Linked DNA regions of Oryzias latipes. The protein of the gene in region 1 interacts with the protein of each later gene in a pairwise test. Links are inferred from orthologs where the notes say so. Each region holds a gene or a part of one and is shown on either strand. Other genes may lie near its edges. The genes, in order: grb10, gigyf1 and gigyf2.

Region 1 (3,654 bases):
AGAACTCTTTCCACACTGGGAAAAAATTTTTTTTCTCATGTGCATATTTATTATATATATATATATATATATATATATATATATATATATATATATATATATATATATATATATATATATATATATATATATATATAATATGAATTTGTATATTTGTATATTTGTTTTTTTTGTTTTTGTTTTGAGGTTTTGTATAAACTTCTGGTGTTCGTGCTTCCAAGTTTCATCTGACGTCAAGGACATTCAGCAGCTTTAGAGTGACATGTCACTCACCAACTCACCACCCTGCATGATCTAGCTGTCCCGCAGCCAGACCTGTGGTATGCAACAGCAGCCATCTAGCCCTTGTCATGCTTCATCCGTCTTTAAAAATGGGAATTCTTTTGTTTGGCATGCAATTATGAAAGCTCAAATCCTTAAAACAGTCTGCTTTTGTTGTATTCTTTTTGCAGATTATAATCTGGTATTATATTTTCAACCTCTTTTGACTATCAGTTTGTAATGTGTGCAAATATGTGTAATAATTCACAGAATTGTCTTTTTTGACTTGTAGTTGTGGGTGCTATAGTCACTGAGAGCTTTGTCTCCCCCTAGTGGCGATAGCGCAACAGTATTGTGAATTATAAGCATTTGATGAAATTATGAGCCTTCTTTATTATAAATAATGAGACAAAGCCCCACTGCAAATTGTGATTCGACAGAAAATGGAGCCAAGTAAGACATGTTCTTTTTTTTTTTTCTGATAATGAAACTTTTATAGTCTCAAGCAATTAAGCAGGTTTCCCTTCAGCAGAGAATCTGCCTCCTGAATCTAAAAGTGCCACGGGGATTTTCAAGGGGCCTTTGAAGGAAGCCTCGTCCTCTGGAAAATGTCTTGCTTTTCGGAATATTAAGTTGAAAGTTTCCTGGTGAATTTCAAGCAGATGCTTCAGCTCCCCCGGTAAGAGTTGAAGAGTGTAGCGGGCAGGTTCGTGCGTGTACCTGATGCTTGTGAAGATTAGGTTTTACTGGGAAGTATGATGAATGTCATCAAGAAAGTCCTTCTGATTAGGCGTTCTGGCACTGGTTACTAAGTTATCAGTAAATGTGGTCATGTGCACGTGCAGACACATGCCTGCAGGTCTTATAGAGACCGTTAATGTGAAAAACCTCTTTATGCATGTACTTCCTGCTTTTGTCTTTGTTCACTTTAGGTTCTGTAAACCCTACAGAGCAAGTTAAATGGGGGCTTTAAAAAACTGTTTACTTCTTTTGATCAAGAGGCAGCTCTTTACTTCGCATAGCATAAATTTATACGTCCATGTAACCTTCATCTTTCAGAGGATGACGTGGACTTGGAGGCCCTGGTGAATGATATGAACTCCTCCCTGGAGAGCCTGTACTCCTCCTGCAGCGGTCCGCAGACAGAGTCGACTCCGCTCCTACATAATGGACAGTCCTCTTCCTCACACCACCATCATCACCATCATCATATCCAACACAACCAGGCACGGCAGCTTCAGCAGCCACAGGTGTTAAGCCACACTTCCCCAGAGTTGCCTTCCTCCTCCTCACTGTCAGCAGATCTGCCCAGGACCAGCCTCAGAAGGTCACAGCCCATGCACATCCTCGCTGTCAGGTTAGTGCAGAGCTCCGTACTGCTTTACTGTTTTCTCCAGGATTGATGGTTTCTCTCCTAATATCCACCTCATTTGCACGAAGAGAAAAATGCACACTTGTACAAAATGTTAGAAAACAAACCAATATAAAGATAAACAAGACTCATTTTAAGAACGTTAAGGCAAATTGCATAGCAAAGCAACGTCATTCCCACTCGTATGGAAGTTTTTTCCCCACCCATGATTTAAAGTAATATTCAATTCTCAATTAACAATTCAATTGACAATTTGAAAATGCATTTTGCCATTTAGAATTCAATCTAAAAATAAGTACAATTCAATATTAAAATTGTAAAATGACATTTTAAGTCAAAAAGCTAAATCTATTGAATTTAAATTGTCATGGGTTTTTGATGCCAATCAAATGTAAAAGTATTTTGCAATCTAAAATTCAACGTTGAATTTGGTCATGGCTTTTGAAAATGTAGTTTGCAATTTATAATTCAATGCAAAAAAAAAAGTCATTTTAATACCTTGTTTGCTTAAAATTCAGTTTAAGGTAAATTAAAAACTGTTTTTCTCCCATAAATTCAAATTTTGATAAAAATACACAGTCTTAAAGGGAAAGCCAAAAGCTGCAAATACAGTTGCTAAATATTTATGGTGCAAGTTTGTTTTTGTGCAAAAAAGCATGAAAAATATTAATCAGGGAGTGATTTATAGGATTTGGCACTTTTCTAATAATACTGTTTTCTAGATTACCCATTTTTAAATCAATCCCACGTATGAAGCAGGTCAAATTGTGCTTTGTTCTTGTGTCTTGTCACACCTGCCCGAATGGGTCAATTTGGCAAGCCGGGGCCCGTAGATGGACCCCAGGAAATATCCGTGTCGTAGGTAATTCACTCAGTCAGAGCCGAAATGTTAATCCAGATTTTTTTCCTTTGACATTTTGCGGGCAAACACTTCACATAAGGGTAAGTAAGGGTGAAGTACATGAAATGCAGGCGCGTCGTACGGATTTTTCATGTTTTCAAACTCCATGAATACAGACTGCGTAAAGAGCCCGTTAGTGCTGTTCAGGGAAAAGTGTGCCCTCAGTTTGCACAGCCTGACTTTTAGAATTTAAATTAGACAATCAGATGGTGGTTCGTGTGACCATCCTACGGACGTCCTACAGGCACTTACGTACACCTCCACGTCCTGTGTGTGCAGTCAATAAAGACCCTGTACTCGCACCTTGCTAATTGCTCGAGTGCTGCATAGGGGCTCTGTGCAACAACTACACTATAAATACTTTACCGTGCACATAAGGCCGTGTCGCACAGCTAGTACGTGCATCTTGAACATATTGCGCAAAGGGAAAATTGATCGCATGTAAATATACGTGGAAAAAGGGATAAAAGTTGTGGTCTTTACGTAAAATTTTCATGGATGCATTGCAAATGAACCACGTTAAAACTACAGAAGAAGTACGAATAATCCACGAAAAAGAACACGTAAACAGACGTAGAACATTGAACCGTGTGTGATTATTGTCCTGTTTATATGCAATTTATTAGTGATGTGTACATCAGTTACATATTTTGAACGTCACATATGCGCTGTATGCACAATATAAAAGTTATACATAGTGGTACATGCGTGAAAAGTCTGTTAGACATGCATGAAACGGTCGTGAAAAGCCAACGATTTGCATATGCATCTCACAAAAATCACACACAATTTCCTAAGGTTACGTAAAATTGGGTATAAAAGATGTGAAATACGCATGAACTGCGCAACTGACCAAAAATTTTGAACTGCTCAAAACCAAATTCACCTACAGACCCGTCTGCCAAAACCCTCGATGTACAGTTGCGCACATCAACGAATGACGAACGCAAGAAACGATTCTAAATGACGTATATCACGCATCTATCACGAAAGGCCAAAATTTTATACAAGAAAATGTGCAAAATGGACGTAGTGTATGTGTGACACAGCCTTCATCACCCACACGACGATGGTATGTTCCCTTTTATGACGTCCTTTAACCCTTGTGCTATCTTGTAAG
Region 2 (3,654 bases), on another chromosome or scaffold:
AAAATAAATACATATAAATAAAACGTTTGTACCCGTTTTTGTTTTTTTGACGAGGAATTAGTGAAGGAAGATTGGTGATTTGTAGAAGTAGTTTCTAATTTGCAAATACTTCAACATTTTTTAGATTAAATTCGTTTCTCACATGGAGAACTCAACCGTCCTTCAGAGCCAAAAGATTCTTCATATTTTGTTTTTGCATTGTTCCTGATTTATTGTGTATTTGTTGTCGTCACAGGAACATTTTCTGTTTTTAGGTTTCTTAACAGCTTCCTGCCTCGTTCACCATTAATCTCCCTTCTAGGGTTGTGCCGATGGACGATGGTGATGGGTGACTGACATCCCGATGGAGAGACACCATCGTGATGCCACGCCCCCGCCACGTTGCGAGTCGACACCATAATCCGCAGTTACATGTGCAAAATATCTTGATGGGATCAATGGTCGGATTAGAATCCAAACGTGTACATGGTTCCAGAAAAATGTTTTCAGAATATAACAAATGTTCACATGGGTCACACTTTCGGTCGGAATAAATCATTCGCACATGCGCAGTAGGGTTTGAAAAACCGGAAGCGGATATAATTTCCGCCGAGCGGCTATTTTTTTTTCAAACTTTATTGAATGTAACAATTCAATACAAAACAATGTTGCCGAGCTGCTATATATATTGACATGTCAGTGGCTGCGGGACGGATCGCAGTCTTAAATCTCCCACACATAGCGCTCATGTAACAAAGCACCCCCCCATCAAACACAAAGCTGTAAGTCCGCGCTCCGCCGGTCCACTTCACTAGTGAAGTGCGGGAGCGGACCACTTCTTGTCTATTTTGTTTGTTACTTTTTTTGTTAAAGTCACTTCCCTCAGTTTATATTGGATCATCGCGGATGAGTCATTAGTTGGGGAATAAAATAAAGTAATAAAGTAAAATAACGAATAGCAATTATGACAACGACAAATTTAACACACACACCCCCCCCACGATATCATCGTCCATCCCGATGGTTGACAGCAAACATCGTCAACGGCCAATTTAGGGGACATCGCCCGACCCTACTCCCTTCCACACGTTTCCTCAGATCACAAACATCTTCAGCAGGTCGGCAACTTTTTTTGGTCGAAACACACGGATTTTGCAGCTGAGCGCCTCTTGTGACCGACTTTTAAGGTGTGACAGATAAATAAAGCAAAATAAAACCAAAAAAAGAAAAAAACTATCCAAATACATTTTGTTTGCTTCTTAGCTTTGGGGTTTTAGATTTAGCGGTCTGGGCAACAGCTTCAAGTCACGTGTCGCGTCAAAACAGATGGATCGGGTGAAGAGAATCCGGTGGTTTTTCAAAATAAAACGTTCTTCAGTTTTAAAAAAAGAAACAAATAATCAAAGTACCGGTACCGGCCCGCGGACCACTGAACGTGTGTGGGAGTTCACCTGCAGAGGGAAGTTCATGTTCAGTCCTCCCACGTCCTTCGACAACTGGAAACCAAAGAGAAGAAAAGGAGCCGTTTAACACATTTTCTACATTATTTGCACTTTATTCTCCGTTTCTGAAAAGAAAAAAAAAGAGTTAAAAACCAGAATAAAGGCATTAAACTGTGAGCAAAAAACTGAAATAGTCGAGCTTTTTGAGAGAAAAATGTATCTTTAGACATGTTTCAACACATTTGTAAATTATGGGTTGAACTTTTCTCTGAAAATGTTACGACTTTAGTCGAATAAAATTGACTTTTTCATCATTTTACCACTTTCTTATAATTTTGACTTTAGTGTAATATTTTGACCAATTTTTCATGAATTTGCTGTTTGTCTCAGAATTTTTTACTGTTAAATTTGGACTTTTTTCAGAATTTCCCAATTCTTTTCAGATTTTATGACTGTTTTAAACAAAATTTTAATTTTTGATGATAATCTTACAACTATTGTAAATCTTGACCCATTTTCACTTTTTCTTTTGAATTTACAACTTTTACATCATTTCATGGCTATTCTCGCAAAAATTTTATTTATTTATATATATATATATATATATATATATATAAATAAAATTTTTAATTTTAATTTCTCTTTAATTTTACGACATTATTCTCAGAGTTTTACAACTATTCTTGTAAACATTAGACATTTTTAGTAGAATTTTTATGACTATTTTCATAATTTTATGACTTTTCCCTCATAATTTTCTGTTATTTAATGACTCTTCTTGTTAAATTTGGACTTTTTCATAATTTTTTTTTTTTAAATTTAACGAATTTATTCTCATAAAGTTTTGATTCATAATTTTTCCTGCTTTAATTTTAAGATTTTTCTAAAATATTCATCTGTGTATTCTTCTGATCTGCTTTCAGGAGGGCCGTGGCGTGTTCTCTGGACGCCCGGTCGTGTCTTGTGGCGGCGCCGACACCGACCTGCTGCTGCTGCTGCCTCTGTTGGTTGGCTTTCTGTTTGGCACGGCGCTCCAGAAACTGTTTGGCAAACTCTTTGGCTTCCACGGTGTCCCCAAGGTAAGACCGGATGAAATCCAGCACTGCATAGGGAGACTCCACCTCTTTCAGGTACGCCACGATGGTGGCGACTGTGCAAAGACACAGCAGAGGGCTGATTAGCCATGGGAAGACGGAGGGGGGTCACTTCCGGGCGGAAGCTGAGCGGCCTACCGTCCAGGGAGCAGGAGGAGTTGTTGGCGGAGCTGTTGAGAGCGTGCAGCATCTGCTCACACCAGGTGGTGAAGCCGTCCTGAGGCTTCATGCCCTGCAGCAGCTTCAGCAGCTTCTCCTCCTCCTCCGTCCTCTTCCGGCGCATCATGTACTGCTCGCTGAAGGAGACGCCACAGGTTACAACACCAAGCGACGGGATTCGAACCCGCCATTCCGGCCCGCCACCTACTTCAGGGAGGGGCTGCTGCGGCTGTTCTTCAGGCCCAGGTTGTTGCTGTTTCCGCGCAGACTGGCCTGGTTCTTCAAGGCCTCGTCCCACAAGCCCATGCTGCTCGACGAGCCGCCGCTGCCGCTTTTGGACTCCAGCGCCCCCCACATGCCCACGCCGTCTGCCCACTGCCCCCCCATGGAGGAGCTCCCCATGGACAGGCCCGAGTGCTGCGGGCAGAAAGGGGCGTGAGCGTGCGAGCGGCCCGCGGCAGCGTTTTTTTTCTCCGAGACTCACCCGCTCTCGCTGCTGCTGAACGCGCTGCTGCTTCAGGAGCCGCTCCGCCTCCTGCTGCATCTCCAGCAGGGCCAGCGCCGACGGCTTCCCGGGCTTCGACAGGCCGGACGAGCCCCCGCTCCAGTTGGAGCTTCCCGCCCCCGTCTGCTGGGGCGCCTGCTGCAGCAGCTTCATGATCAGCTCCTGCTGCCGCTGGACAGAGGAAACGCGCGTCAAACGGACCGCCTACTGGACACACAGATCAATAAACTCCCCAGCTTCGTCTCACCTTGCGCCGGAAGAGCTCCTCTTCCTCCCTTCGTTTCTGCTCCTCCTGTTGCCTCCTTTTCTCCTCCCTTCTCTTGCGCTGCTCCTCCTCCTCACGCTTTGCCCTGAGTTCGGCGTCTCGCCTCTCCTGGAGCTTGAAAGGAGCACATCAAATCAAAATCAAACGACCAGTGGGGTGAAATGTAGGCTCCCTTTGCCCCGTCTCCTGGAGGAGCAGGGAGCTGCAGTC
Region 3 (3,654 bases), on another chromosome or scaffold:
TGGTTCTATTAAGTTCCATTTCTGATTGTATTCAAATAAATGCTTGTCTGTCACTTACTTGCAGAAAGCTCCAAAGGAGCCCATCCCAGAGGAGGCAGAGCTGGAGTTTAAGCCCTTAGAAGAGTGTGAGGAGAGTTTGGAGGAGGACAGTCCGCTCAGCGAGACCAAAGAGACAGAACAAGAGGCGAAAATAGAAGCTGAGAGGAAAGGTCGGCCTCCCCGAATATTTGCTTTTGTCAGTTGTTTTTACACAACATGATTGGTTTCCACCTATGCTGGACGAAAAGTTGTACTTTTATTTAAAAAAGCTCTTTATGATTTAAAAAAAAGGTTGAAAAATCTCATGTTGTTTCCCGACGGTTTGCTTTTAGAGTTGGCCAAAGCTTCAGAGGAGGCTCCGCCTGTCATTCCACCTGTTCCTACGACAGTGGCAGAGTCCCACCCTCCTGCACAGTGTTTTCCCTCAATCCACCCCAACAGAACGGAGGAGATGGAGAGGCCAGCCGAGCAGCAGCAGCAGCAGCAGCCTCTAGCGATACCCCCAGAGCCCTGCAAAGCTCCATTAAGAGTCCCCATCATCAGTAGCATGCTGGAGTCCCGTCCTATGACTCATGTTTCCACAAGCATGTCAGGTTTGGCCTTTTTTCTCTTTTATCTTTCATTTTGTTGAATAAAATATAGAACATTTTGGTATTTTATTTCATTTTGTTTTTGCAGAAGCTCCTGTTCCGTCGTCTGCCGCCAAACTCCCACAAAAGAAGTCTATAGAAGTTCCTGTGACCATCAACAATCATTTACCTTTCCCTTCAAACGTAATAGCACCTATTGCCAGGCCCACCTCTGTACCACATGACACGGATGAAGACGGACTAAAAAACTTTGAGCAGGTAGATTCTTTCAGCTTAAACCCATTGACATTATTAGAGAACTGGACCGAGTGAGTGTGATGTCACCTGTGGAGACTTCATTTGCCATTTTTGGGCGACATGGATGCTGCCATGTTGGAGCCAGACCACACCAGTAATCATTGATTGATCCAAGTCAACGTTTCTATGGCAACCATTCTCATTAATCAGGAGTTAGCTTGTTGGAAACCCACATCCTTAACACCTGAAAGAGAGCGACACAAACGTTTTAAACATTTGACGTGTGACCACATGCTTTTATTGAAAAAGCTGATCGGGCAGTTTATAACTTGAATAACTTGCACTACAGGAAAAAAAGAGCAAAAAGCAAATTAGGATTAGTAAGAACATGTTAAAAAAAAAGAAAAGAGCAAGAACGGTTATTCTGACAAACAGAATGCCTGGGTAATAGCTGTTTATTTCTCAATATAAGTCTATGGGATTTAGGCCTGTTTGGAACACCAGGAGGGCAAAGTCACTCAGTCCAGTTCTCATACTTAAACTCAATGTTAAAGGGAATTCCGTCAAACAGCCTCTTTTTCTCTGTAATTGCTGTAAAATGATCAAACAAAAGTAAAATCAGGTGTGTTTATTTCTAAGTAGTTATCTGGAATGTATTTGGTAAATCAGCTAAAAACTGTGTTTCTACATTTCTTACTAGGAGGCAGAGAAGATGGTTGCATACTTGCATGACAGCGGCGCGGATGACGACCGGCTTGCAGCAAAGACAGCAGAGAAGCCCAAGCCTGCAGGCCTGCCTCTCACCCACGAAGCTGCTCTTAAATGGCTTTACAAAGATCCACAGGGGGAAATACAGGGTGAGATGCGGAAAATGACCTGCTGAAAAATCTCACGTCAACCTGTGCTTCAGTCTGACGTTTTGGTCCTGACGCTCTTTCGCTCCTTCAGGTCCGTTCAGCAATCAAGAGATGTCTGAATGGTTTCAGGCTGGTTACTTCACCGTGTCTCTGTTGGTCAAAAGAGGTTGTGATGAAGTGTTTCAGCCTCTGGGTGAAATCATGAAGATTTGGGGAAGGGTACCATTCACTCCAGGGCCCTCCCCTCCACCATTACAAGTAAGAACCCCTGCAGAATATTGATCAGTGGTTTGCTGTCATCTGATTTTACTGGTTCAATGTTTTAAAAGGGAAGGTGATGATGGAGAATCAGCGTGTGTTTTAGTGACGGTTAAAAACGGAGTTATACTTTACCACAAACTGTGAGCTTTAGTGACTGGAAGTGGTTTATCAACTGCCTCCTGTCTGGAGCTGATGGGGTTTTGATGACTGTTACAAAATCTTTTTAAATAAAAAAACAAAAACAAACGGCTGTTTTTTATCTGCTGCTGATAAGCACAATTTGAAAAAAGATGTTTTGATCTTAAGTTATTTTATATATGTTCACCACCATGAGAAAAATGCTACAAAAACATGTTAAAAACACAGAAAAAACAGATTTTTCATTGGAGTGGGTCTTCAAAGCTAGATTCATGAATGTGCTTGTTTTGAAACACCAGGTGGCGCTTGTGAGCCTTTTTGTGAAATAGAAACTGTTTCCTTCTAGGTAGATTAGTTGTATAGTTATATGTCCTTTGCATCACTTTACATGAACAGAAATACCAAATCAAGCTAGCAAATATAGAAAAACAATATTAGTCGCAGCAACCTTTGGTTTTGTTACAAAACCTACCTTCTAAAATTGTGATCCAGCTACAAAAAAAACTGTTTTTGTGTTTTTTTTATTTTTATGTATGATATTTTTCTTATTTTTATCAAGGCCATGATAAAAAAGACCCCTAATTTTATTCTTGTTTTTATTTTGACCCTCTCCGTTTAATGCCGGACAGCAAGCGTTCAAACTTGGTCAGAGAGAGAACACAAATGCAGAGAACACATTTGGGAAGTTTCATTTTAAATGTGTCCAGACAACAACAAATTCTAGCCTTGGACGCACTTAAAGTGCATGGGGGTTTGCTGCACCTGAGCTGATGTGCACGCTGGACGGGGCGTTGTGACATCACAACAGCTCATAATTTAAACCCAGTGTCTTTGCGACAGTTTGACAGCAATTTAAAAGGCCAAATACTTGATTAATGATTTTTTAATTACATTTGTTCTCTTTTAGAAGACAAATGCCACACATACATGTCAAAAACTTAAAAAACTTGGTTTTCATGGGAGGGGGACTTTAGGGGGTTTTGTATTCTATGTTAAAGTTGAGTCATTGTTCTGTTTGCTGCTTTGACTGTTCTGACTTCTGTCTCTGTCTTGTTTTGAATTAATGATCAAAGAGCACTCTTTGATTGTTGTTATCCCTGTGACAATATCAATAAAGTATCTTATTTTCCTCATTTGCAGTCAGATGGTGACCAAGAAAGGTTAAAGAGGCAGCAGGAGCTCACTGCTCTCAACCTTTATCAGTTACAGCAGCTACAGTATCAGTACCTCCTCAGGTAAGTTCTCATCTGAAACCTGTTTTCAGACCACCACTCCTTTGTGTTAGTTTAAAAAAATCAGCGGCATAAAGGAAAGGTGTCATGAAAAGTTATATGTTTGCTTTGGGGTTTGTTTGTTTTCCCCCTAAAGATAAGCTGGTTTGCTGTTTACCCCCTGTTTACAGGATGTTTGTTCAACTAAATTTCCAATAAAAAAAAAAAAATGCAGACATGCAGAATATTTCTGAGGATTTTTGTCCAAAGCGATTACTTTAAGCCGTTGTTTAGCTAAAAGGTTCTTTTTACCCCAAAACA

What was found.
Region 2: the proteins of grb10 (region 1) and gigyf1 interact in a two-hybrid assay, tested with the Homo sapiens proteins (2 studies listed by BioGRID). The link is inferred for Oryzias latipes from reciprocal best matches to the Homo sapiens genes GRB10 and GIGYF1.
Region 3: the proteins of grb10 (region 1) and gigyf2 interact in a two-hybrid assay, tested with the Homo sapiens proteins (2 studies listed by BioGRID). The link is inferred for Oryzias latipes from reciprocal best matches to the Homo sapiens genes GRB10 and GIGYF2.

The regions. Positions count from the first base shown.
Region 1 is NC_019874.2:13,087,890-13,091,543, forward strand, and holds part of grb10 (growth factor receptor-bound protein 10), read left to right. Parts: intron 1-1,320; coding exon 1,321-1,618; intron 1,619-3,654.
Region 2 is NC_019876.2:6,264,119-6,267,772, reverse strand, and holds part of gigyf1 (GRB10-interacting GYF protein 1), read right to left. Parts: intron 3,559-3,654; coding exon 3,427-3,558; intron 3,351-3,426; coding exon 3,159-3,350; intron 3,092-3,158; coding exon 2,883-3,091; intron 2,812-2,882; coding exon 2,654-2,811; intron 2,572-2,653; coding exon 2,405-2,571; intron 1,476-2,404; coding exon 1,431-1,475; intron 1-1,430. UniProt on the Homo sapiens protein: May act cooperatively with GRB10 to regulate tyrosine kinase receptor signaling. May increase IGF1 receptor phosphorylation under IGF1 stimulation as well as phosphorylation of IRS1 and SHC1.
Region 3 is NC_019875.2:25,019,631-25,023,284, reverse strand, and holds part of gigyf2 (GRB10-interacting GYF protein 2), read left to right. Parts: intron 1-64; coding exon 65-209; intron 210-371; coding exon 372-632; intron 633-717; coding exon 718-887; intron 888-1,566; coding exon 1,567-1,723; intron 1,724-1,814; coding exon 1,815-1,981; intron 1,982-3,262; coding exon 3,263-3,357; intron 3,358-3,654. UniProt on the Homo sapiens protein: Key component of the 4EHP-GYF2 complex, a multiprotein complex that acts as a repressor of translation initiation. In the 4EHP-GYF2 complex, acts as a factor that bridges EIF4E2 to ZFP36/TTP, linking translation repression with mRNA decay.